3 linked regions of the Notamacropus eugenii genome follow. The protein of the gene in region 1 purifies or fractionates together with the protein of each later gene. This does not show direct contact. Links are inferred from orthologs where the notes say so. Each region holds a gene or a part of one and is shown in the gene's direction. Other genes may lie near its edges. The genes, in order: BCL7C, DPF2 and ARID1B.

Evidence for each region.
Region 2: the proteins of BCL7C (region 1) and DPF2 purify together in Homo sapiens (affinity purification with mass spectrometry; 4 studies listed by BioGRID and IntAct, counting the BioPlex papers as one, with this or other methods). This does not show direct contact. The link is inferred for Notamacropus eugenii from reciprocal best matches to the Homo sapiens genes BCL7C and DPF2.
Region 3: the proteins of BCL7C (region 1) and ARID1B purify together in Homo sapiens (affinity purification with mass spectrometry; 4 studies listed by BioGRID and IntAct, counting the BioPlex papers as one, with this or other methods). This does not show direct contact. The link is inferred for Notamacropus eugenii from reciprocal best matches to the Homo sapiens genes BCL7C and ARID1B.

What each region holds. Positions count from the first base shown.
Region 1 is NC_092874.1:377,802,606-377,810,488, forward strand, and holds BCL7C (B-cell CLL/lymphoma 7 protein family member C), read left to right. Parts: upstream 1-2,992; 5' UTR 2,993-3,546; coding exon 3,547-3,638; intron 3,639-3,989; coding exon 3,990-4,068; intron 4,069-5,106; coding exon 5,107-5,215; intron 5,216-5,338; coding exon 5,339-5,503; intron 5,504-5,591; coding exon 5,592-5,677; intron 5,678-5,807; coding exon 5,808-5,954; 3' UTR 5,955-6,026; downstream 6,027-7,883. Other genes in the region: CTF1 (cardiotrophin-1), read right to left, coding at 28-143, 1,979-2,051. UniProt on the Homo sapiens protein: May play an anti-apoptotic role.
Region 2 is NC_092873.1:18,131,469-18,139,351, forward strand, and holds the start of DPF2 (zinc finger protein ubi-d4), read left to right. Parts: upstream 1-3,964; 5' UTR 3,965-4,037; coding exon 4,038-4,069; intron 4,070-4,228; exon of another isoform or gene 4,229-4,411; intron 4,412-4,916; exon of another isoform or gene 4,917-5,056; intron 5,057-5,463; exon of another isoform or gene 5,464-5,565; coding exon of another isoform or gene 5,566-5,576; intron 5,577-6,870; coding exon 6,871-7,031; intron 7,032-7,347; coding exon 7,348-7,455; intron 7,456-7,649; coding exon 7,650-7,813; intron 7,814-7,883. UniProt on the Homo sapiens protein: Plays an active role in transcriptional regulation by binding modified histones H3 and H4. Is a negative regulator of myeloid differentiation of hematopoietic progenitor cells. Might also have a role in the development and maturation of lymphoid cells.
Region 3 is NC_092873.1:250,121,665-250,129,547, forward strand, and holds the start of ARID1B (AT-rich interactive domain-containing protein 1B), read left to right. Parts: upstream 1-2,832; 5' UTR 2,833-3,084; intron 3,085-3,364; 5' UTR 3,365-3,482; coding exon 3,483-5,438; intron 5,439-7,883. UniProt on the Homo sapiens protein: Involved in transcriptional activation and repression of select genes by chromatin remodeling (alteration of DNA-nucleosome topology).

The sequences.
Region 1 (7,883 bases):
CCCACCACCTCCCACCTCTGTACTCACATATTCCTGAAGCAGCTGCTCAGCATAGCTAGTGAGGAGTCTTGCAAGACTGTGGGTCTGACGGATCTTGGCCTCAAGGTGGGAGAAAGATGAGGCCGAATGGGACTGTAAGTCCACTGGAGGGGACAGGGGAGGATGAGGAGGAATCAAAACCCAGGTCCCCTGACATAACAGATCTCCCTTCTTCCCATAACATACTATTTTTAGTGTCTTATTGGTGGCTTGATTCCACATTCTCACCTTATACCAATTGGGGCTGTAGTCCTATCTTCCCCTACCCTAATTATCTGAAAGAAGAAATTGATCTACAGGAGCTGGAGGTAGGGAAGCAAGGAGGTGTGGGGCCTGGACAGGAGACTTGAATGACTATATTGCAGATAATCACAATTCCTAGGTGATTATGTGTTATAATACCTGGAGTACCCTTTGATAATACCAACTACAGTTTCAAATCCTGACAAGTTGACTGATTAATAACTTGAATTGGCCTTAGACTCCTCTGAATTGGGAGTTCAGTTACTTAAGGGATTAGAAAATTTTAATTCTTAACAGTTTATAACCTAGTCCCACTGTATACATCACCAAAGACAAGAAGGGGAGATGCTAGGACAGGAGTTCCTAACTTTTTTGTATGTCATACTCTTTTGGCAGCCTGGTAAAATCTATGGACCCCTACTCAGAATTACATCTTTAAATTCATACAATAAAATGGATAATTAATTATATCAAAAGTTATCAAAAAATTAAAACAAAACAAGTTCATAGACCTCAGGTATAGAAAACACTTGACTACACATTCTGGCTTCACTTTACTCTTGACTAGGAGAAAACTACATTTCCCAGGATGCAAAGAACTTAGGCAGATGCTAGGCACATGGTGCTTAATATTGTAGGGGGAGGACTAGTAAGAAGGAAGCGACATGCAAAGGTGACCAAGTTCTTTAACCCATGTCTGGCCCCAAAGACCTATCACCACATCTTTTGCTGTTCAGCTCTCTCTCTCTCTCTCTCTCTCTCTCTCTCTTTCTCTCTCTTTCTCTCTCTCTCTCTGTCACACACACACACACACACACACACACACACGCGCGCGCGCGCGCGCACACACACGCACGCACACACACACACACACACACACACACACACACACACACACACACACACACACTCGTCAACTTTCTTCCCAAGACCCTATCTCTCTTGAGTACTCGAGTAGCTTATCAATTAGCTCTGGTTCTCCTTTATAAAGAGCAAAGAGCTTCCTTGCATTCTACCCTCCCCCACCTCGATCTCCTTCCTTTCCCTCCCCCCCAGCCCCCCCCCCCCACTCCCAGTCATTAATTGACCATCCTGCTCTATTCAAACTATGAGACTTCAGCCAGAGGCTGGTATTTTTGCCAAAGACTCTCAACCCCACACTCTTTGCCCCTCTTCAACATATAAGTTGTTAAGGTGAGCCCACATCTCACTTCCACAGCCCCACTTCCACTTCAAGTCCTATCCTTTTAGTTTCCTCCTCCAAGTCCTTCCCCATTTTCTTAATCAGATCCCTTTCCTTTCTCAGAATCCATCCATTTGGCTGTTTAGCCACTAAGCTGTCCTTTTCAGAACACAAACATTACATTACAGCCCCAGGCACCTAACTTGTAGGACTGAACCCTGCTCCTCCTATTAACCTGCAGTCTTGCCCAGTTCCCAGCTTTCTCTTCTAGACCCAATTTTTCCAAGTCCCAGAAGTCCCTTACCCTTGTTTCCCTCCCTCTGGCTCATGTTGGCCCCCTCCGTCCCCTGGCTGGTCCCGGTTCCCTACATGCCCCCTCCTCCCCTTCCCAGAGAGAAGAAGAAGGGAGGGAAAAGGGGGGTAGGGGGCGTGGTCCACTATCAACCAATCAGGGGCCACCCCCAAACTCCCCCCACCTCACCCCAAGCCCAGATTCCAGGGCCCTGAGCTCACCTTTTAGCCCTGCCCTGAGGAGCGGAGAAAGGCCTGGGAGCGAGAATATAGGTCTTGGGAAGATAAAAACCATAAGGATCTTGGGGCGCTCCCTCCCAGAGAGCTTCAACTTTTCTCCTAGTCTAGGAATTGGATTGAGAACTGTCACCTTGCTGATGAGGTCACCCAGACAGCAAAGGGGCAGGGACTGTCAGAGTTCTGAGAGGGCAGTTGAGAGGAAAGAAGCTAGGAGTTGGGGTGGGGGTTGGGGGGAAGGAAGAGGAGGACTCCTGGGTTCAGGGAGGGAACTGGCATGCCTGGAATTCAAAGAATGTACCTACTGGATAGCTTTCCTGGGGATACACCAAGTGAACTACCCCCAGGAGTTGGGGGGTGGATGGAGGAAGGGGAAAAGATTTGCGAGGTTGTTGGAGAAGGTGGCACCGGAAATGTATTATAGTCACAGGGATGTGCAGACACACACCAAGAGATCTACTACCATATTCTTGAACAGATAGTCACATCTCAATCTCACCAATTAGACAGTAAAGCAAACTGATAGACAGACACATTTTAAAAGGATATCTGATATATTATGGGCGCCTGCCCAGGAATGAAACAGTGGTATCCACAAACACTTAGATCCACGGCACAACCCCACTTGCTGACTCTTAAACCAGCACCCACAGATGCTGTGCAGAGTGAGAGACATGTTTCCTGAAGGACTTTCACAAACATGCTAGGGAAGAAGATATACAAGTACCCCAGTTTGATACAATTGCATTAATGCCCACAGTGATACATAATCGCCAACTGATACACATATACACGCACATGCACATAGAGGCTGAAACTCCACAGGCACAAGGGGGCAGTCAAAGGAACTTAAAACGAAATCGAGTAGGGACCTCCCCTTCCCCCTGCCCCTAGCCCTGGCCCTGCCTCTACGGCCAGGCCCTGGTCCTGTCTCTGGAGAGCAGGGGGCGCTGTGGGGGAGCCAGAGTGGGCGGGGAAACAACTCAGCACAGGGGGCGGAGGGTCTGGTCCAGGGGACTACTGCTCCTTGGTTTCCTGGCTGCAGCAGGGAAATCCCCAAGCCAGAGCAGAACTAAAAGGCGGCTGGGGCAGGGGCGGGCTTAGAGGAGAAGCCAGAAAGAAGTGACAGGGAAGGAGACAGACACTGACGACAGGGAGCCGAAGAAAGGGAAAGAGAGACAGTGAGGGAGGCAGGAAGAGTGACTCACAGAGAAAAGCGAAGACGACAGACAGCACTGGGAAGGGAGGAGAGCAAAGAAAAAACATTTTTGTTTTTAAAAGCAGGAAGACAGGATGGAAAACCAAGAGGGAAAGAAAGAGAGGGAGTGAATCAAACCGACGAGGAGATTGAGAAGTGGGGAAACAGGAAGCCAGTGAGCAAGGGGTAGGGGGAGAAAGGGATAGCTTAGGAGGAAGAGAGAACTGAGTAAGGCAGAGAGGGAGCTCCAGGGGAGAAGGGCACCAAGTGACCCAGACAGAGGTGTCTGGGGAGTCCAGGAAGCATCCCTAGTGCAAGCCAGGTGGGCCTCGGGAGAAGCGACACCTCAGTTCTCATGGCGGGCCGGACGGTGAGGGCTGAGACCAGGAGCCGGGCCAAGGATGACATCAAGAAGGTGATGGCAACCATCGAAAAGGTCCGGAGATGGTGAGAATGGAGGCCCAGGGACTGGAAGGCTTGGGTTTGAGACAGGGAGGAAGGGAAGGGATGTGGGGTAATAACATGGAGTGAGAGCAGTGGGATGAAGGTTTCAGACAGACCACCCTCCAAAGCTTTGGATATCTAGGTCCATCCCAATTAGACTGCTGTTTTTCCCTTCTCCAAAGATAGCTGTGCCATAGAACTGTGTGTTTTTATGTGTTGGTGAGATGTGTGTGTGTGTGTGTGTGAGAGAGAGAGAGACAGAGTGAGAGAGAAAGAGAGACAGAGAGAGAGAGAGAGAGAGAGAGAGAGAGAATCTCTGGCTCTGCATGACCTGGCTCTGTGGATCACCCCTAGGGAGAAACGCTGGGTGACAGTGGGAGACACTTCCCTCCGTATCTACAAGTGGGTGCCTGTGGTGGACCCACATGAGGAGGTGAGAGAATTCTATTTCCCTTATGACATACTGCCTTCTCCACTATTCCCTTTCTTTCTTTTCTTTGTAACATTATCAGTCTTTTCCCCCAAACCAGATTCCCCCCCTTTACTTGGTCTTTTTTCAGTGTCACTACCATGTATCCCAGTCTCCCCTAAACATTGGATTCTTCACTCTCATATCCTATATGTTACTAAGCTCTGCTGAATCTTTTCACTGCAGTAACATTTGCATCTGTACTTTCCTTTCTATTTCTACTTGCTACCACCCTAGTGCAGGCTCTCATTATTATCCACCTAGGTTATTGCAATAGCCTCTAAATCTATCCTTCATATTGCTACCAGATGTTTCCCACCCCACCCCCACCCCTCAGCTTGCCATATCTTGTCATGCCACTCCATTGCCCAAAATCTTCCACGGTTTCTTGTTGTTGTCTATCCATTGAAGGTCGAAGCTCTTTTGCCTGGCATTCAAGGCCCTCCACAGCTAGGCATCACCCAGCTTTGCACACTTCCCCCTACAGCTTTCCTCCATCTTCACTGACCGCTTAAGCCAAAGTAGATTGCTTTCTGTCCCCAATTTCTTGCACCTGAAAATGTCTCCATCCCCTTCTCACCTGTTGAATTTTTACCCATTTTAAAAGCCTAACTCAAATATTACCTCTACCATAAAGCTTCCCTGGCTTTATCAGTAACAGCTGCACTCTCCCTCTCCCCAAACCCATAAAATAATCTTTACAAGTATGCAATGAATTGATTATATATTCCTTTGGATTATGTTACATGTGTCCCATTTCCTTAACTGGGCAGCTCCTGGAGGGCTGGTCTCCAATTAAAATTTTTTTTATTCCCTCCATACCTTAGCACAATTCCCAGAACACTGGAGGTACCTAATGAATGTTTGTTGAAAAGAGCTGAATTCCTTCAGGATCTGACTCTTTTCCCTTTCTTGGGAAACTTTCCTGCTCCCTCTCCCAACTAATTCATTCATCTTTTCTCTACCACTCTCGAACTACCTTGCTCCTTTTCCTTTCTGTAGGAACGTCGACGGGCAGGAAGTGGGGCTGACAGGCCCCGAGTCAGGGAACGGAGGGGTCGGGGAGCCAGTCCAAGAGGGGGTGGTCCCCTCATCTTGCTTGACCTCAGTGGTATGTAGGGGTGTCTGGAGGGTGGGAGAATGGAAGTCTTAGGTTGGGGGAAGGGAGAAGAGATCCTAAGGTAGAGGAAGCAGAGGCACCCCAAGGCCCACCCCTCCCAGCCTCTTTTCCCAGCAGATGAGAACAGCAATCAGAGCTTCCACTCAGAGGGCTCCCTGCAGAAGGGCACAGAGCCCAGCCCAGGGGGAACGCCTCAGCCTAGCAGACCAGCCTCACCTGCTGCTCCACCAGATGGGACTTCTGAAGATGTTCAGCCCCCAAGACTGGGCCAGGAAAGAGGTAAGAACTAAACAACTCCTCCATTGGCTTCCCACTGTGATCTTTAGCTCCTTGTTCCCTGGGGTAACCTGCTTTCTTGTTATTCCAGATCCAGGGGGTGTGACTATGGGTGGGACAGATGAACCCCCAATGCTCACTAAGGAAGAACCTGTGCCTGAGTTATTGGAGGCAGAGGTGAGAAAGGCTGGAGGAGGCTGGACTTTGGAGCGGTAGGGAATGAGGGATGTGGAAGGACTGGGGGTTGGAGGGGGCGGGCAAGATCCTTGGGATCTAGGAGAACTTATCCCCAGTTCCTCCTCTCCAGGTTCCTGAAGCTTACCCAGTCTTTGAACCAGTGCCCCCTGTGCCTGAGGCAGCTGTGGGGGAAACTGAAGACTCAGAGGGGGCACCCCCTCTCAAGCGTATCTGTCCAGATGCCCCTGAAGGCAGTCCGCTCCCCCCAGATCCTTGAGCCTAAAAAGCTGATCCATAAACTGTTGTGTCCTCCCTGGCTTTTTACAAATAAAGAACCTTTTGTAGCCAAGTATCCTCTCATTTCAGTTAGCACACCAAGGTTCTGCCGCCCATTCATTAACTCAGGAACCCGCGCTGTCCTAACGATGCAAGGAAAAGTGGACACCAGACATCCATAAATATCCATATTTCTCCTATTGGAGAAGGGAAATGAGGAAGAGGAGAATGAGAAGATAGACTGTGTGCTGGGTCCTATAAGTATTAGGGTTCTTCTCGCTTCTCCTCTTGTGCTCTCCCTTCTACCCTTTCTTTTCCATTTTCTTTCCTTCTTCTATTACAACTTAAATCCTCCTCTGTGCAAGTTCCCCTTTTGATATTTTTAAACATTTCTTTAAATTATGAACTTAGTCACCAACATAAACATTTCGAAATAGAAAGAATGAAATCATATAAGAAACTTTGAATTTGTTATGTAGCTTAAAGAAATACATATTACACTTAACAAGGTAGTAACAAAATCACTATATCCCTTCGGTATTTTTTTTGTTCTGTGCATTTAAAAATGTTTTTATTTATATTCTACTATTTCATGCCTATCAATTTCAACTAATCTAGACCTTCCCTTCAGTATGCCTCTTTTATAAAATTGTTTTCTTCAGTTAACTTTTGCACCTCCTTTTCCATCTGTCCAATTGTTCCTTTTAAAGAGTTACTTTTTCCAGTTAGTTTTTGTACTTCCTTTTCCATTTGTTCAGTTTTCCCAATTAGGTTTTATGCTTCCTTTTCCATTTTTCCAATTTTCTTTTTAAAGACCTGTTCTCTTCAGTCAGTTCTTTTTTCATATTTTTAAAATCATTGTCCAGTTTTTCTTCTCCTTCTCTAATTTGACTTTTAAAATTCTTCCTGAGTTGTTCCAAGAATACTCTTTGGTCTTGAGACCAGTTCATATTCCCTTCTGAAGTTTCAGATGGGAGTACAGTCTCAATGCTGACCTCTTTGATATTCATGTTTTGGTCCTTATCCCCATAGAAAGATTCTATGGTCTTTTCTGCTTTGCTTCTTATGATGGTCACCCTTTTCCTGGCTTTTAAAGTAGATCTCTGTTTCTGGGGCACAGGGGGCTCTGTCCCATAGTTCTTGTGCCTTGAACTTGAGGCTTTGTGTGTTGTAGCCTCTGGTTCTTTCAGCTAGAAGCTAAAATGTTGCAGCTTACCTGGTTCTGGGCTGGCTAATGGGAGAAAGCAGAGGTCAAGTGAAGTCTTTCTGGGTTTCCTGGAGCTAGCTGTGTTAAGTGTGGGGGAGGGGTGGTCTGGCTACAGCAGGTCTCCTCTGCTGAGCTAGAGCTTAGGTAAGTTCAGTGGTTGGTGATCCCGTCTGCCCTAGTGTCTTCCAGATTCCCCGGGGTGCTGAGGCATGCCTGGGATCCTGGTGTTGGCAGTTGAAGGTTCCACCCCCCCCGGGGATCTCCTCCCAGTTTACTGAGGTGAGGCTGTCTGGAACAGCTGTGGTCTTGCACTGGTCCCCTTCAGTCACAACAAGAGGGACCCTCAACAATTTTCCTGGCCCCAAATGCTAAGAGACTGTTTGCCCTTTTGGCTGATCCCACTATTCCAAGATTTTTCTGGGGAGATAGTTTATGGGTGTTTCAGTGTCAACAAGGGAAAGGGGAGAGCTTTTACTGATCACTCCAGCATCCTGGGTCCCAGAAGTTCAAGTAGGTGACTTATAGACATTTAATCTGAGGGCTGATAGTCTTAGGAGCAGCCACTGCAGATACCTGGGGCTCCGAGGCTCTCACTCACTCAGTCCCACTGGATTCCTGTCCTTGGCTGATATGCCCGAGATTCTGCAGGGCAGCCACTGCCTCAGACCACCTGGGGCTTCCTGCTTGGCCCTGCCGCGGGGATGCGCTGGTACAGCCTGTGCG
Region 2 (7,883 bases), on another chromosome or scaffold:
TCCCTGGGACTCAGTTTTCTCATTTGCTAAAGGCTAATAATGATACTTCCAACCTCATTGCACCACTCTTCCATAATGTATGGAGCTAAAAAGGGGCTTTGAAATTATCTGATATAAACTCTTCATTTTACAGATGAGGAAACTGAGATCCAGGGAGCACAGCGGCTTGCCCAGGTCATACAGCCAGTGGGTAGCAGAGCTGGCCTTCTAAGCCAGGTCTTCCCAGTTCTTTCTACTCCACCCAAGGACACAGGGGTGATGTCTATACACATCTTAGCTTTGCCCAATCCTGCCAGCTGTAAGCACTCTCTCCTTCTGGACATTTTATACACACACACACACACACACACACACACACACACACACATACACATACCCATATATACATACATACATCCTCTGGACATTTTGTATAGGTATACATACATATATGTACGCATACATACATATGTACATATATCTTTAATTCAATTAACTCAATTTGTTCCTTTCTAATTTTCAAGGAGTTTGTTGCCTGGGCAGATTTGATGCCTCTTCTGCCAAGCTATTCATTTCCTTTTCAATTCTTTCTTCCATAGCTCTCATTTCATTTGCAAAAATGTTTTTAACTCATTAAAGAAAAAAACAAAAAAAACCTGCTTCATCTTTTCCAGGAATTCTAGTTGAATGTGTACCCAGGTTGTTTCTCTTGAGGCTTTGCTTGGAGATGTTTTGGAGTTATTCTCTTCTGCCTTGGTGATAGCATCCCTGTCACTAAAATAGCTTTTTATGGTGGGATCCTTTTTTGGGGGGCAGCAGGTTCATTTTTCCAGCCTATTTCCTGACTTCAGGCTTGTATTAGGGCCAGACTCTATGTGCTTTTGGAGGGAACATCTGGACTGGTCCTGTTGCTGTCTTCTTAGGGTACTGAATGTTATGTTATTCCAGGATCTCAGGGACAATTCAAGCTGGAGACCCATAAGCTTTCAGTGCTCCCAAAGTGGTCTAATCCAAAGCAAAATCTAATCGTTGTCCTCCTCAGCCCAGCCCAAGTCTGAGCTCTATAAGTTCCTGACCACGGTTTGGGTCTGAGCATCAGTAGATGCTGCTGGAACCAGCCCCTACCAGTCAGCTGGAACACTCTGTGCGTTCAGAGTGATAGAATTATAGGCTCCTCTTTAGACTGAGTTTCCTGCCCTGGTTACTCTTCCATAGGCTGGGCAAGAAGCTGGAACTGAGATCCTGCTCTTCTTCTGAGATCTGAGCCATACTACTGCTGCTGCTGATGGCATCTAAGCTTGCCTCTATGTACATCAACTCAGGCCCTCCTCAGCTGCTCCTTACCCCAGAATGCCATCCCTGAGAACAGGTCTCCTCCTCCATCCACCTTGATCTTAGACCTGGAACTGATTAGTGTTGGCACCTGTTCCTCTCCTGCCACTCAGGGGTGGGTCTGACCTCCTTTCACCCTGGTCCACAACACTGGAGGGCTTCTGGCCAGATCCCTTTCTGTCTATTTTCCTAGACCAAATTGGGCTGGCAAAACAACTCAATATGATTTTTTTTCATGGATTTCTCCATCCAGATTAGATCTGGCACATTTTCCAGATCTGCTTAGGGAAGGTGGGGGATTGGGACCCTGGAATACTGGCTGTGAGGCCTCCTGCTACTTGGTTCCTCGGTTCCTCCATCCTAATAAGGAAAGCGGCAGCCCAGAGAGTGTCATTTGGATCTGGGAAGTTTCAGGATGGTACAAACAATGGAGGAGTTCATCCTTTTGAGGAATAGCAGAGTATGGATTGATTATTTTTCCCAGCACAGTCAATTAATAAACTTTATTAAGCACATACCAAACGATGCCAGGTACTGTGCTAAGTGCTGAGGATGCTACAGCCCCTGCTATTAAGGGGTGTACTGTCTCATGGGGGAGATGATGTGCAGACAACTATGAACCAACAAAGAAGACAATGGCATTAAAGGCGCATCTAGAAGCCTTCAGGTAGAAGGTGGGATTTTAGTGGAACAAGAGGTAAAAGTCATAGCTTAGGGAAGGGATGATACCTATGGCAGAAACCTGACCAGAGACTACTGGGGTGTGTCTAGGGGTCCCTCCCTACCCTGATCTACCTAGTCAGAATCCAAAGTAGAGAAGCAAAGTCAGAGGCAGAGGGTGGGGATGAACAAGTTAGCCCTCAGCAGCATTGCAGAAAGATGGTCAGAGGGCATCAAATCCAATCACCCTGAGCTTGAAAGTGGGTTAGAGTCAGCAAAAATTTATACTTCTAGATCTAGGCCTGAAAGGAAACTTAGGAGTCATCTGGCTTCAAATACTCATTTTATAGCTGAGGAAACTGAGGCCCAGAGAAGTCACCATTAAGAGATTTACCAAGGTTCACTTGTGTGGTAAATTATTTCTAGGATTTCATCTCTGGTCCTGTGACCGCAAGGTCAATGAGTGCTCTCTCCACTGAGCATCAATAAAATTTTTTAACTTTGGGAATTTTTTCGATATTAAAAAATTATAAATCAGAGGTTTAGGGCAGTTAGGTGGTGCAGTGGATAGAGCACCAGCCCTGGAGTCAGGAGGATCTGAGTTCAAATCCTGCTTAAGACGCTTGACACTTCCTAGTTGTGTAACCCTGGACAAGTCATTTAACCCCCATTGCCTTGAAAATAAATAAATAAATAAAAGAGGGTTTGAACTGATTAACAACAATGTTGTTGTCCTTTGTTCTTGAAGAGGACCATGACATCAGGGAGGTGATGCTATGACATGCAGGTGAATTGGATCGAAGTGATTTTGACGAGACTATGAGTGTAGAATATTGCAGCTCCTGCCAGACACAAGCTGGTGCATGGATAGCTTGGCTAAACCGTTTTCTTTTCTTTCCTTCTAATTCTCTGTTAACAGAGCCGGCAAGGCAGGTGAATTCTTACACCTCAGAAACCGGCAATCCCTACAAATCAGCGCTTGATTTGTCGTTGGTTTCTTAATTGACTACATTTTAAAAGTGTTAATAATCAGATTTAACTTAAAAGTGTTTGTGCAAATCTTCCCCCCTCCTCCCCCCCGGAAGCCTGTTTGTTCCACTACCATTATCTTCATGGTCATGTTTGGAAATGAAATCCGTGTGAAAATGGAAGAAAACAGGCATGGATACAAAGTTGCAAAGGAGATACAATGTAACTTTTAAAATAAGGGCAACTTTGTATGTTTGTATACGAGCCTGTTCCCGCGAATTCCTGGGCGGAAAAATGGGAGGCAGGGCGGTCCTCAGGGGGCAGACCGGTTTTTGCCCTTCTGGATATGCCCAGGTTAGCAGGTGCCCGGTAAACAGTAGGCGTTTAATAAATGCTGGCTGCCCACGGCAAAGGAAAAAGTTTAGGTTTGAGTTACTGTTTTCAGTTGCAGCTACTTTCCCCTCCTCGCTCCCACCCTGGGGGTCCCTTCCACAATTGAGGAGCCCCCAGAGGACGCTGGAGGTGAAGGGGAAAAGGGCCCCCCCGGCCCGAGGCAAGGGACTCACTGCAGTCCCAAGGCTTTTGTCGCTTTCCTGGAGTCACAGGCTCAAACCGCGCGTGCGCACTGGCTTGGTTCTGTTCCCTCCTACCCGGTACTGGCTCGGCTCCTGCTAATGGGAAAATTACCGCGCTTGCGCGATGGAGCTGGGGCGGCGGGGGCGGGGGGGGTTGGGGAAGTGGGAAAGATGGCCGACCTTTTTGGCGCCTGCGCGTTGGAGCAGGGAACTACGAGCCGGCTTCTACGTGGAGGCGGAGGAGACGGAGAGAGCTTCTGTTTGGAGCTTTGGGGAAGGCGGGGTGGAGCGCGTCAGGCCTTCGGAATCGGCGCCTGCGCGCTGCGCCGCGGTGCGGGCGCGCTCTCCGGCCCCGGCGCTTGCGCGCTGGCAGCCTTGTCCTCCTCTCTGCACGCCTGCGCGCTGGGGTCGCCGCGGGGGCGGGAGCGGGGAGCGTGCGGACGCGCGGGCACGCGCTTCGGGCTGGGCGCCTGCGCACTCCGACCCCGGGGGCTCCCGGGCTGAGGGAGAGGAGGAGGGAAGATGGCGGCCGTGGTGGAGAATGTAGTGAAGCTGTGAGTGGCGACCGCCGTCTCTTCAGAGCCGGGGCGGGCGGGGGGGGCGGGCCCGGGGCCGCGGAGGGGGGCGTGGCGGCGGCGTGCGCGGAGACGCCGCCGGGGCGGGCGCGGGGCGGCCGGGCCCGGACGAGGCCGTTGGGCGCCGGGCCGGGGCGCGTGGCAGCTGCGGGCGCGAGCACTTCCAGCGGGGGCGCGCGCGGGGCCCCGCTCCAGCCAGGCGCGCCCCCGAGGGGGAAACTGAGGCCCGAGCTCCGGCGCCTGGAAAGGGACCTTAAAGGGGGGGTCGTCTCGCCTGACCGAGGAAGTAAACTGAGGCACGCGGGCAGTGCCAGGGCCAAGGTCACGGAGAGAGTCAGCGGGAGGGATCCTAGAGACAACCACGGTCCCACGTCCCATTTGACAGATGGGGAAACTGAGGCACAGAGCGGGGCCTGGACGGGCGCCCCCGCCCTCCACAGTCCCTGCCCGGTGCTGAGGCTCGTCCTCGGGGGATTGGGGAGGACCCCCGGGGGGCGGCCTGGGCTGCCCTACGGGGTCCTCAGGAGGTGGGCCTGGCACGAACACCCCCGGCCAGACGCAGAGCCACAGGATGCGCTTTGGGAAGGAAGGAAAGGGGCACCTGTTCACCCAATAGGGGAGTTTTAAATACAAAGGGGGTCCCCCCTGCTTGGGGTTCTGGAATGAATGCTGAAACCGGGTGCCAGGGAAGGCTGCAGCTCTTGGGCCTGACCCACCTGAAGAAAGGAAGGAGGGCCGGCCGTATGGCAGGATCCTCCTGTTCCCAGGGGGCAGGCCAGGGGCTCTTCCTTGAATCCTGAGGAGCTTGCTTCATGCCGTTGGCCAGGGGTAGAGGCATCTCAGAAGTGCGGGCAGCCGTGAAAGGTGGCGTGGCCTTGGCATCTTACCTGGGAGCTTAGCATGAAGTGGGCCTTGAATTCACTCCACCTCGCCCAGGAGTGGGTCAGCAGAACTCCTGTTCTCTAGGTGCCAGCTAGATTTCCAGCTGTTCCTTTTTAAGCGGGTGCAGGGAGTTGGAAGAGAGGGTTTTTCCAGGGTTCTCAGGCCTCTGTCCTTGCTTTATGGTAGGCTGCAAGCTGCTCCCTGGACGGGAGCCTTTTTGATGAGGGAGAGCATGCCCACTGCCATTCAGCTGGGTGCCCTCCCTCTCCTGGGTTAGTTGGAGGGGGCGGCAGGCTTCCTTTCTGCTCAGCCACCCACCCATCCCACTCCATCATCATCCTCTCTGATGTGCCCACTCCTTTTCCCCAGTCTCTCCTCAGGCTGGCATTTCCCTCAGTTCAGAGAGGATCATGCTAATCTCCCACTCTGTCCTTCCTGACACAAAGGTTCTCTCCCCCCTTTTCCATCCTTTTCCTTGGGTTTGTACCCAGCACCCCACAGGGCCCAGAGGCAGTTTCACCGATTTTATACTGACGTAGAGGGAAATCCAGTTGTTCTGAGAAAAGCTGACTCTTCTAGATCCCAAGGGGAGCATGGAAAGAAGGCAAGAGGGAAAGAAAAGCTAAAAAAGGGAAGTTTCTTGGGGTAGGCCTGTTTTGGATGGGTGGCAGCAGGCACCTTCAGGTGGGGTTCAGGGGGTTGGCAGGGTATCTCCTGAGACAGGCCTTGGTTTCTCCATCTCACCTCTGAGGTAGTCTTGGGGGGTGGGGTTGGGGTTCCTGATACCCTGGCACCCTGGCAATGGGGAGCCATCCACCTCCTCCTTAGTACCTGCTTAGCCCCCTGCTGGGGGCTGCTGATGACAGTCAAAGTCTATTGACCAGGCTTCTCTTCCAAGGAAGGGAACTCCACCTTCTTTTTCCTGTTCCTGATCCCCACCCAGAGAAGCAGCTGTTGTCCCCTTGCCATGCTATCACCAGGCTGGTTTGTTTTGGTTTTTGTTTGGGGGGGAGTACTTAGTTATCTGACAGTTTAGTCTTAATTTGACAAACAGGACACTTCTGGGCTTTATTTGTGATGGGCTCCTGAGCTGGGACTCTCTCTCCCTGGCATAAGAAATGAAAAGGAGATCTCTTCGTAAGGGTAGCACCCATTGTCCCCAAACACCCATCTCTCTCTTAGCTGCTTAACAGGATCTGACCCTTCTCTGTCCAGGGATCCCTTGCTGAGTTCTCCCTCCCCTGTCCCCCAACTCATTAGGAGCCATGTTCTCTGCCCTTTCCCAAATACATAGTGTTCTTTAAAAAGCTGTGTGGCCCACCTCCTGGTGTATGCCTGAGGTACCCACACAACCTGAAGGCTCCAGGATCTCCCTGCTCACCTTCCATTTCTTTCTGAACGTCACTCTCAATTCCCATCAGTGGAAACAAAGGAACTGCGCTCTTTAGCCTTGTTTATCCAATTTTATTCTCTGATGGTGAGAATGTGGAGGCCGATTTCTGAAAGCCAGCTAATATGGACCCATTGCCTCCTCCTCACATAAGAGGCCTACCTCAAATTACAGTAATTACAGCTCATTGAATTAAGCTGGGCTGGTGGCATTTCTGCTGCTGCCTTTCTGTTTGTTTTGGTTTGGGGGTGGGGATTTTTCCCAGTTGCTCAAAGCACCAAATTATTGAGAGCTCATCAGATCATGGTGTGGGGTTTGAGGTGGTTTATGTTCTGGGCCTTCCCAGCCAGGACACCCAGAGGCCCCTGGGGCCCAGCTTGATTCCTCTTGGTGACATTTGACTTGGCTCAGCTGGTGTCCTCTAAGGTAGAAGAGGGAACAGACAGGTCAAAAGGGTCCCAGACAGCTTTCTGAGCCTTCCCTTGAAGCCCCTCCTGTCCCCCTACAGCCTGGGGGAGCAGTACTACCGAGATGCCATGGAACAGTGCCACAATTACAACGCCCGCCTCTGCGCCGAACGCAGCGTGCGCCTGCCCTTCCTCGACTCCCAGACTGGAGTGGCCCAGAGCAACTGTTACATCTGGATGGAAAAGCGGCACCGGGGGCCAGGTGAGGGCCAGCCCGCTGAGCACACAGCTTCTAGCTTGGGCTGATGGGAGGCCCAGGGAAGCAGAAGGACAGGCAGCCCTTCTGGCTTCCTTTGTTCTCCCTAGTCTGTTGACAGACAGCACCTGGTTCCCCTTCACTTTCTTTTTTCTTTTTTGTGCTTCCATCTTTCCCCACCCAATTTCCAACAGTCTTACCTGTTGTCTGGAATCTCTTCCCTGCCTCCACAACATTTACCCCAGCCTCAGAGTGAGCGGGCATCTCCTGGTCCAGAAGGCATTCTCCTTCTCAGGTTACTGACCCCGATCATCTCTCACAGGGCTGGCCTCAGGGCAGTTGTACTCTTATCCTGCCCGGCGTTGGCGAAAAAAGCGCCGAGCCCACCCTCCTGAAGACCCCCGACTCACCTTCCCATCCATCAAGCCAGGTAGGGGCAGTATTCCTCTTCAAGTAGTGCCATGGTCAGTTTCTGGGGCTAAGAGACAGACTGAAAGGGGAAACCTGGAGACTGTGGGATCCTGGGAAGTTGGGGGGTCAGAGGTGAATGAGGGCCCTTTCCTTCCAATGGGCATGACTACCTGTGCCCATCCATATCTCAGTGTAGCCTCGCTCTCCTTCCAGACACAGACCAGACCCTGAAGAAGGAAGGACTTATCTCCCAGGATGGGAGCAGCTTGGAGGCCCTACTGCGCACCGACCCCCTTGAGAAGCGGGGTGCCCCCAATCCTCAGGCGGATGATGACAGCCTGGGAGAGTTCCCAGTTACTAACAGCAGGGCGAGGAAGGTACCAACGGAGGGACCTCACAGGGACAAGGGACCCCTCATTGGAAGGATGCTGGAGCAGCCTGGGTTAA
Region 3 (7,883 bases), on another chromosome or scaffold:
CCTTGGTGGACTTTACGATACGATTTTGTTGCTTTCTAACAGATTGGTGGTAATCCTAGTTTGTTTATTAAGATACTAGATTTCTTAATGAAGACAAGAGATTTTTACTTTGTTTTCCTGGAAAAGTGCATTTGAAAAGCCCAAGCTGAACCCACAGGTTCATAGACTTTCTCCTCATTTCAGCAAGGATGCTGAAAAGGTATCAGCAAATTCTTCCTGTTCTGAGACAAAACTGAGTCCTCAATGCTTTGTGTGGGGCTTCACTTACACAGACTGCAGTGCCTTCTGTCTGCTTTGGGTGTGGCATCTGCCATTGGGGAGGAAAAACTGGCATGTGTTGCCTTTTATAGCAGACCGATTTCATTGTGCTGAGGGCCTCTATTTTATAGCCTCCTGGTTCCAATCTTCTAGTTGACTCGCTGAAGCAAATGGAATTAAAACAACTTAAAACTACAAACTTCTTGATTTCCCCCCCCAGTTTCACAATTTGTCTACATGAAATAAATGCTCCCCCCACTCCCAGAAAAGAGTCAATAGTAACTTTGTGACTCATTTTCCCTCAGCGTTAGTTATGAAAACAAGCCACAAAGCATGGGTAATATAATTTGGATTTATTTTGATACATTTTATCATATTTTTAACATAAAAAATGATTATATGTACATATCTCTGGTGTGAGCCCAAATGTCTAAAAATATAAATATGTAATGGATTTTTTGAATATATGTATGCATATAAACACATACATAGAACATATATTTATATTTGCATATGAAAGACTTAAAAATTCAGCTTACAGTGTAATGTGTATAATTAGTATGTACTTGAATATAGAAAAGAAAATCCAGGAAAATATGTCAAAAAGGCACAGTAACAAAGATGTAGTATTCTCTTGGCAAAAGCTGAAGAATGATTTGGCATGAATTCACCTTACAGTTCTGCTGTTCTCTCTTCTACAAGATGATATACCTCCCCCTTTCCAGTGGTTTGCATAGAATTGCAATTTGTTGTTTCTACAGTCTATAATGACCCTTGGGTATGCACCTGACTCCCCCCTCCCTCACAATTACTCACCAATTTTTTCCACCCTATCGTTTTCTATTAGTCATGTAACATAGTTACACTTGGTCAAACAAACAAAAATAACTAGTGTAGTTGAAATAAACTGGAATACTTTTATGCACAGTTGAAGAATTAGGGATCTTATGATAGGTAAATCCTACGGAATGGTGAAGTACGCTCATATTTTTTAAGGCAGAAAGAGAAATTCAAAGAAACGTTCCATGGTGGTTACATGGTATTTATTGCTAGTTTTAGAGTAGTATAATTTTATATTACCTAATGAAACTTGTAGTTTTAAACACTTCCTACCAGTGCCTTAGTACAGTTGTGCTGTTTCTTACATCAGTGTCACGATATTCAGATTATTCCCATCCTATAAAACAATTATGGTCATTTTCCTGAGAACAGGGTATGAAACATTTGTATTAATCTGTGTTTAGATGATCTTCTTAATAGAAACTCACTGCCGTCTGATTTTGCTTCTCTGTAAAAATAACTCTTGTTTCACATCATTGAGCAGGGAATTGATATTAAAGCTGATTATTTTACACATTCTCTTTGGAAACATGATGAAAGGTGTCACAGAGGTGTTCTGATTGAGGATGAGCGCAAGCTGGTGCAGTTATGACTGGCAGTTAAACTTTCTTCTAAAAGTGGTTTGGATCACACAACACAACACAACTTTAAAATTATTTCCCTTTAAGGAGTGGAGATAAAAAGTGCCTAGGAGAAATACAGATACGACCTAATAAATTTCTTTCTAAAACTATTTCAGATTTGGGAGTTTGTTCTTGTGAACAGCAATATGTGTATTATGGAAATAATATATGTATACATGTGTATATACACAAGAGTGCACATACAACCCATATATCTAGGGAAACAGCCGTGTATACGGAAAACAACACATGCATGTATGCATACATACGTATGCACATGGGGAACACGGATGTGACATGCGTACACAAGGAAACACATGCATGTAAAATGGAAATGCACATAAACCTACACGTGTATTTGTGTGCCTACGTCCCCACATGGGCACAAGAAAGGAACTTTTATTTTTTGTTGATAGCTTTGCATACAAATGTACTAAGATGACCCATAAACAAAGATTATGTTAATAATAAAATCTTTGGGGCAGATGTGGACATTGGTAATTAAACATTTATTGAGCGCTTACTGCATACACAGCACTATCCGTTTTGGACGGAGCTGTATATACTACGCTCTTCTAAAATAAAAATACGGCACCCCATTGCAAACCTGCAGAAAATTCACGAATCCACCTTATTTCGTAGCTTGAGTAAAGTTGTAGCAATCATGTTGCCTGACTTCAGACCAATGCATAACGGGTTAACAGCCTGCAAATTACATAATGAATTCTGAAATAGCTAACGCTCCCCCCCCCCCCCCGACTGCCCAAATATTTTTATTTTTAGTCAGCGCGGTGTAACCTTTGAGCCAGACAGACAACTTTGTTCCCCAATCCGTCTCCTTCTTTTGTCCGCCAGTCAGACCCGTTTTCCACCTTTGTATCGTTCCTTTTAAACATGAAAACAAACACATTAATGCCTAGTTGGCAGGGAAACAGATGCAGAAGGGGAGAGTGCAGGCCCCTCCGGCCCCGCGCCGTGGCGTTAGGAGCGGCTGCGGAGCTCGCTCGGAAAGCCTGCCCCGTCCGTGCCTGCGCCGGGAGTCTCCGCCGCGCGCCGCCGCTCGAGCCGCCCGAGCTGACGGGAGAAGGTAGCTGGAGCTCCGCGGGGAGCGCCGGGGACCGTGCCGGAGGGGGAGGGGGAAGTCCAGTCCGCGTTTTGCGAGTGCGCGGCGGTAATCAGAGAGAAGTGGATAATAGTTGTTCGGGCTCTCTCCGCTCTCTCTCATGCCATGCTGGGCCAGATAGGCTCAGTCAGACGTGTATTTACCCATATCCGGGTTAGAGAGGAAAAGAAAAAAAGTTTCATTTAAACCTCAGCTAAAAACTTTCAACATGAAATCCCACAGCAAGAACAGGCATAGACCGTAAGATATTATTATCGTTTCTAATCTCGGTCCAGGACTTGGGGCGGGGGGGAAGGGGGAGGGTAAAGGGGGGATGTTTTTATTTTCTTTGGGGGTATGTGGACTGGAGACCGAGAGCGGCTGTTTATTAAAAAAGTGTCTTCCTTGTTTTCTCCCTTCCCCTCTCTCTCTCCCCCTCCCCTTTCTTTTGTTTTATTTTTGTTTTGTTCGGGGGGGTGGGGGGGGGTCGGGGGGGCACATTGGACTCGCGATGTTGCAATGATCATGGCCGCGCGAGTAGCATCAGCCCCGGCGGGTGCGGAGCACAGTGATCGGGGCGCCCCGCTCTGCGTCCGTGGCCGGCTCACTTGACCCAGGATCTCCCGCGGGGGGGAGCCGGAGCGGCGGGACCGGGATCCATGCTAGGGGTCGGCGGCGATGGGCCCGGCGGCGGCGGCTTGAATAACGTAGCTCCCCATCCCCTGCACCACCATAATGAACTGAACATGGCCAATAACGCGAGCTCTGCCGCCGCCGCCGCCGCCGCGGCTGCCAGTAATAATAACACGAAGAGCGGCGGCGGCGGCGGCAGCAGCGGCGGCGGCGGCTCGTCCGAGGCGGCCCTCAAGGAAGGTGGCAACGCCGCGGTCTTCTCCTCCTCCTCCTCCTCCTCCTCCGGTGCCTCCTCCTCTTCGTCCGCCCCGGCCATGGAGACGGGGCTGCTCCCCAACCACAAACTGAAAAACGTCGGCGATGCCCCCGCCGCACCTCCCCACCACCAGCAGCACCACCACCATGCCCACCACCACCACCACCACCACCATCCTCACCATCTCCTCCACCACCACCACCACGCATTACAGCAGCAGCTAAGTCACTTCCAGCAGCAGCAGCAGCAGCAGCAGCCCATCTCCAACAACAACCACAGCCTCGTCGCGGTCGGCGGCGGCGGCCACGGAGCGGGGGGCAGCGGCCACGGAGCGGGGGGCAGCGGCGCTGCTGCTGCTGCTGCTGCTGTCGCGGCGGCGGCGGCGGCTGCTGCTCAGCCCAGTCCGGACATGGAGCCCCAGCAACATGGAGGAGGCAAAGACGGGGTTTTGGGAAATCAGGCCGAGCCCCAAGCGCGGCAGCTGCTGAGCAAGGCGGGAGAGGAGGAAGAGCTCCCGACCAAAATGGGGGAGCAGATGGGCGGCCGGTACGAGCACCCCAGCCTGGGAGCTTTGGGCGCGCAGCAGCAGCAGCCGCCGCCGCCGCCGCCGTCGCAGCAGCAGCACCAGCAGCAGCAGCCACAGCAGCAGCAGCAGCAGCAGCAGCAGCCGCCCCAAAGCACCGGGAACGGCAGCGGCGGCGGCGGCGGCGGCAATGGTAGCCTCGGCAGCGGCGGCGGCGGCGGCCCCTCCGCCTCGGTGGGGGTCTCGGAGTTTAATAATTACTATGGCAGCGCTCCCCCTGCGAGCGGCGGCACAGGCAGCCGAGCCGGGCCTTGCTTTGATCAACATGGCGGACAACAAAGCCCCGGGATGGGGATGATGCACCCGGCCGTCGCCGCCGCCGGGCCCCCCAACAGCATGGACCCCTTGCAAAACTCCCACGAAGGCTACCCCAACAGCCAGTACAACCATTATCCCGGCTACGGTCGGCCCGGCGCGGGAGGCGGAGGAGGAGGTGGCGGCGGCGGCGGCGGCGGTGCTGGAGGAGGAGGAGGAGGAGGAGGAGGAGGAGGAGGAGGAGGAGGAGGTAGTGGAGTAGGAGGAGGAGGAGGAGGAGCAGGAGCGGGAGCAGGAGCAGTGGCGGCGGCGGCCGCAGCGGCGGCAGCAGCAGCAGCAGCGGGAGGCGGCGGCGGCGGCGGCTATGGGGGCTCGTCCTCGGGCTACGGGGTGCTGAGCTCCCCCCGGCAGCAGGGCAGCAGCATGATGATGGGCCCGGGAGGCGGCGGCGGCGGCGGAGGAGGCGGCGGAGGCGGCGGCGGCGGCGGCGGCGGGGCTGCTAGCCTGGGCAAGGCTGCCGCCGCCGCCGCCGCTGCCAGTTCTGCCGCGGGAGGCTTTCAGCGCTTCGCCGGGCAGAACCAGCACCCTTCGGGGGCCACGCCGACCCTCAATCAGCTGCTGACTTCCCCGAGCCCCATGATGAGGAGCTACAGCAGCAGCTACCCCGATTACAGCGGCAACCCTAATGCCCCAGGCCAGCAGCAGTCCCAGGCGCAGGGAGCGGCGGGGGCAGCTCCAGGAAGCCAGCAGGCAGCGGCGGGCATGGGCATGGGCAAAGATCTGGGCTCCCAGTATGGAACTGCAAACCCCGGCTGGGCAGCGGCACAACAAAGAAATCATCCAGCTATGAGCCCTGGAAACACTGGACAGACCATGAACAGATCCCAGGTAACTACTCGAAAAAACCAGGGCCTTCTCCTAGGGCTCGAGACACCCCTCAACCCGTAGGCGAGCTTTAGTTAGTTTCTTTCTCATTTACTTTTTTCCCCTCTCTCTTCCCCCCCTCCCCCCCGGGAGGGAGGCGGGGGTAGATTCCCAAAGCCATTTTAACTCCTAGCTGCCTCACCAGAAAATGTTGGGTAACACCGTGTCTGGCTCCGGCTAGTTCGGGGGCATCGCTGAGGAAATAACAGCTATTTTATTTACACAATTGATGAACACGCTATTTCACCCCTTTAGCTTCGTATTATAAAAATGGCAAGAAACCAGCAGGCTGCAGAAGGCTGTGGGGACGACTGGAAGCGCTTTTGTAACCCATAGTGTTTTTAAAAGCCAGTAAATTCTAAAAGTGGATCTTGACTAAGCTGGTCTATTAAATGCTTTGATCCGGTAAAGCATGAACAGTTCTTTCTTTCTGACTTGTTTGCCCACATTAGCCTTGGTTTGCTCATGAGGCTAAAAGTTGGAAATTGTGAGAAAAAGAGGTTTGTTTTTTGACAATCGAAGCGTTTCTTATAGTTACGAACACCTTACATGATTAGCGTGGAGTTGCTTTTGATTTCATTTTGAGTTGGAATGTTTGGTAACACACATTCCAGATTTCAACTAGGTGGATGTGGAATAGATTAAAATATTTTATGTTACATAACATAAATAGCCAAATCCACAGTTTGTTACATAGGCTTCTTGAAACCTGTCATTTTAAATGACATGCTGACCTCAAAGGGCTAAATTTCTCATGAGTCGTACTTGTTTGGATCATTGAATATACAGATATTTGATGTGCTTAATATAATGATAAGCTATCAGATCATCATTTTGGAGCCTGTTTATATGGGTTTCCTTTTGGGGAGGGTGGTTTTTTTTCCCCCAACAGCCAAATCACATAGGTTGATTAGGGAGCGTCCTGCACACTTACTGTTCTTGCTAGCAGACTGAGTCTAAAGACTGACTTGATCTCCTTTGCAAGGTTTGGAATTTGAATTGTGGAGGTAAACTGGCTGTAATAGTCTCCAGACAGCTGCCTCTGAGTTGACATCTAATCTGCCATCTGATTGGCTCCCCTCTCACCATTGGGCATTTAGCACTGCTGATGTAAATAGAAGTGCTGAGCAGTACAGTCACAAAAATTCTTGCAACAAATAATAACTGAGCAGTACTACTAGCAGATGCAAAGTTGAATACTGTTAGAAGTTTAAAGGATAAGGACTAATATTCATAAATGGGAGGATGAAATGAACATCTACAGAAATAACATACCGTTTGCCTTAAGGAAAAAAACGGCCTTGGTGACTGTATGTTCTGTGCATTGCTGTTATCATGAACTTTAATTTTAGAGAAGTAGAATTTTAATAAGGAAATACTTTTTGAGAATGTGTTAATGTTAAAGCAGTACACTTTTTACTCTTAGTAAACTGAGATGTATCACAGAAGATTTTTATATCAGAGCATTTAGTTTAATCAGTTTTGATCTTGAAGATGTAGCAACACTGGAGGTATAATTTCAGTTGGCTTCAGAATTGATTATTTTACAAATATGGATCTTAGATGCTTCAGTATTGAATAACAGAAGAGTATTTATTTGGGGTGTTTGTGCAGAAGTTTGGACTGGCTAGTAAACGTACAACAAAGACCAAACCATTTGTAAAAATAACATACTAAAAGTGGAAAGGAATGGCCATGTGACTGAGTTTAAAAAAAATTTAGTATTTTTCGTGTGAATCTTCTCTATTGTTTTAAAGACCCCCCTCATACCCCCCCCCAAAAAAAGCAAAAAAAGCACCCAGAGTTGGTTTTCATCTGATTATTTTGGTATTGTCAGATAACTTGAGCCTTTTTAAAAAATAAAATTGCTTACGGGATAATTTAGGGAAAACAACACTGCATAGTGTTATTTCCTTTCATTTTTCTTTCTTTGGATAGCTTAATCTTATTTGTTTTTTAGATTAGGATCTGATAAAAATAAATACCATTACATACATTTAAAATTTTTACCCTATTTAGGTCAGTAAAAAAGGGATATATTTAAAGAAAGATAGTCATCCGAGTGAGTGATAGACTGATCTTAATAAATAATGGTGAGAACTTTTGACACACTAAACGTTGATATCACTACCTACATATCTTTACAGGAAGATTTTACTTTATTAGCATATATATTCTTCATTCTTGATAGGAAAATAGAAATTTCAAGAATAATAACTTTTCCCACCCCCTTTCATTGAGATTTTTACTGATAAAAAGGTTGTAAGGATGTTTCATGGATATAATCTCATAAAAGCAAGCTGACAAAGCAAATCTGTTTTTAAAGAGATAGCTTAAAATTTACAGCTTTTGGAAGCTAAAAACAGTTGTACTATAATAGAGACAGATATAGGGTACATGTTACTTCTG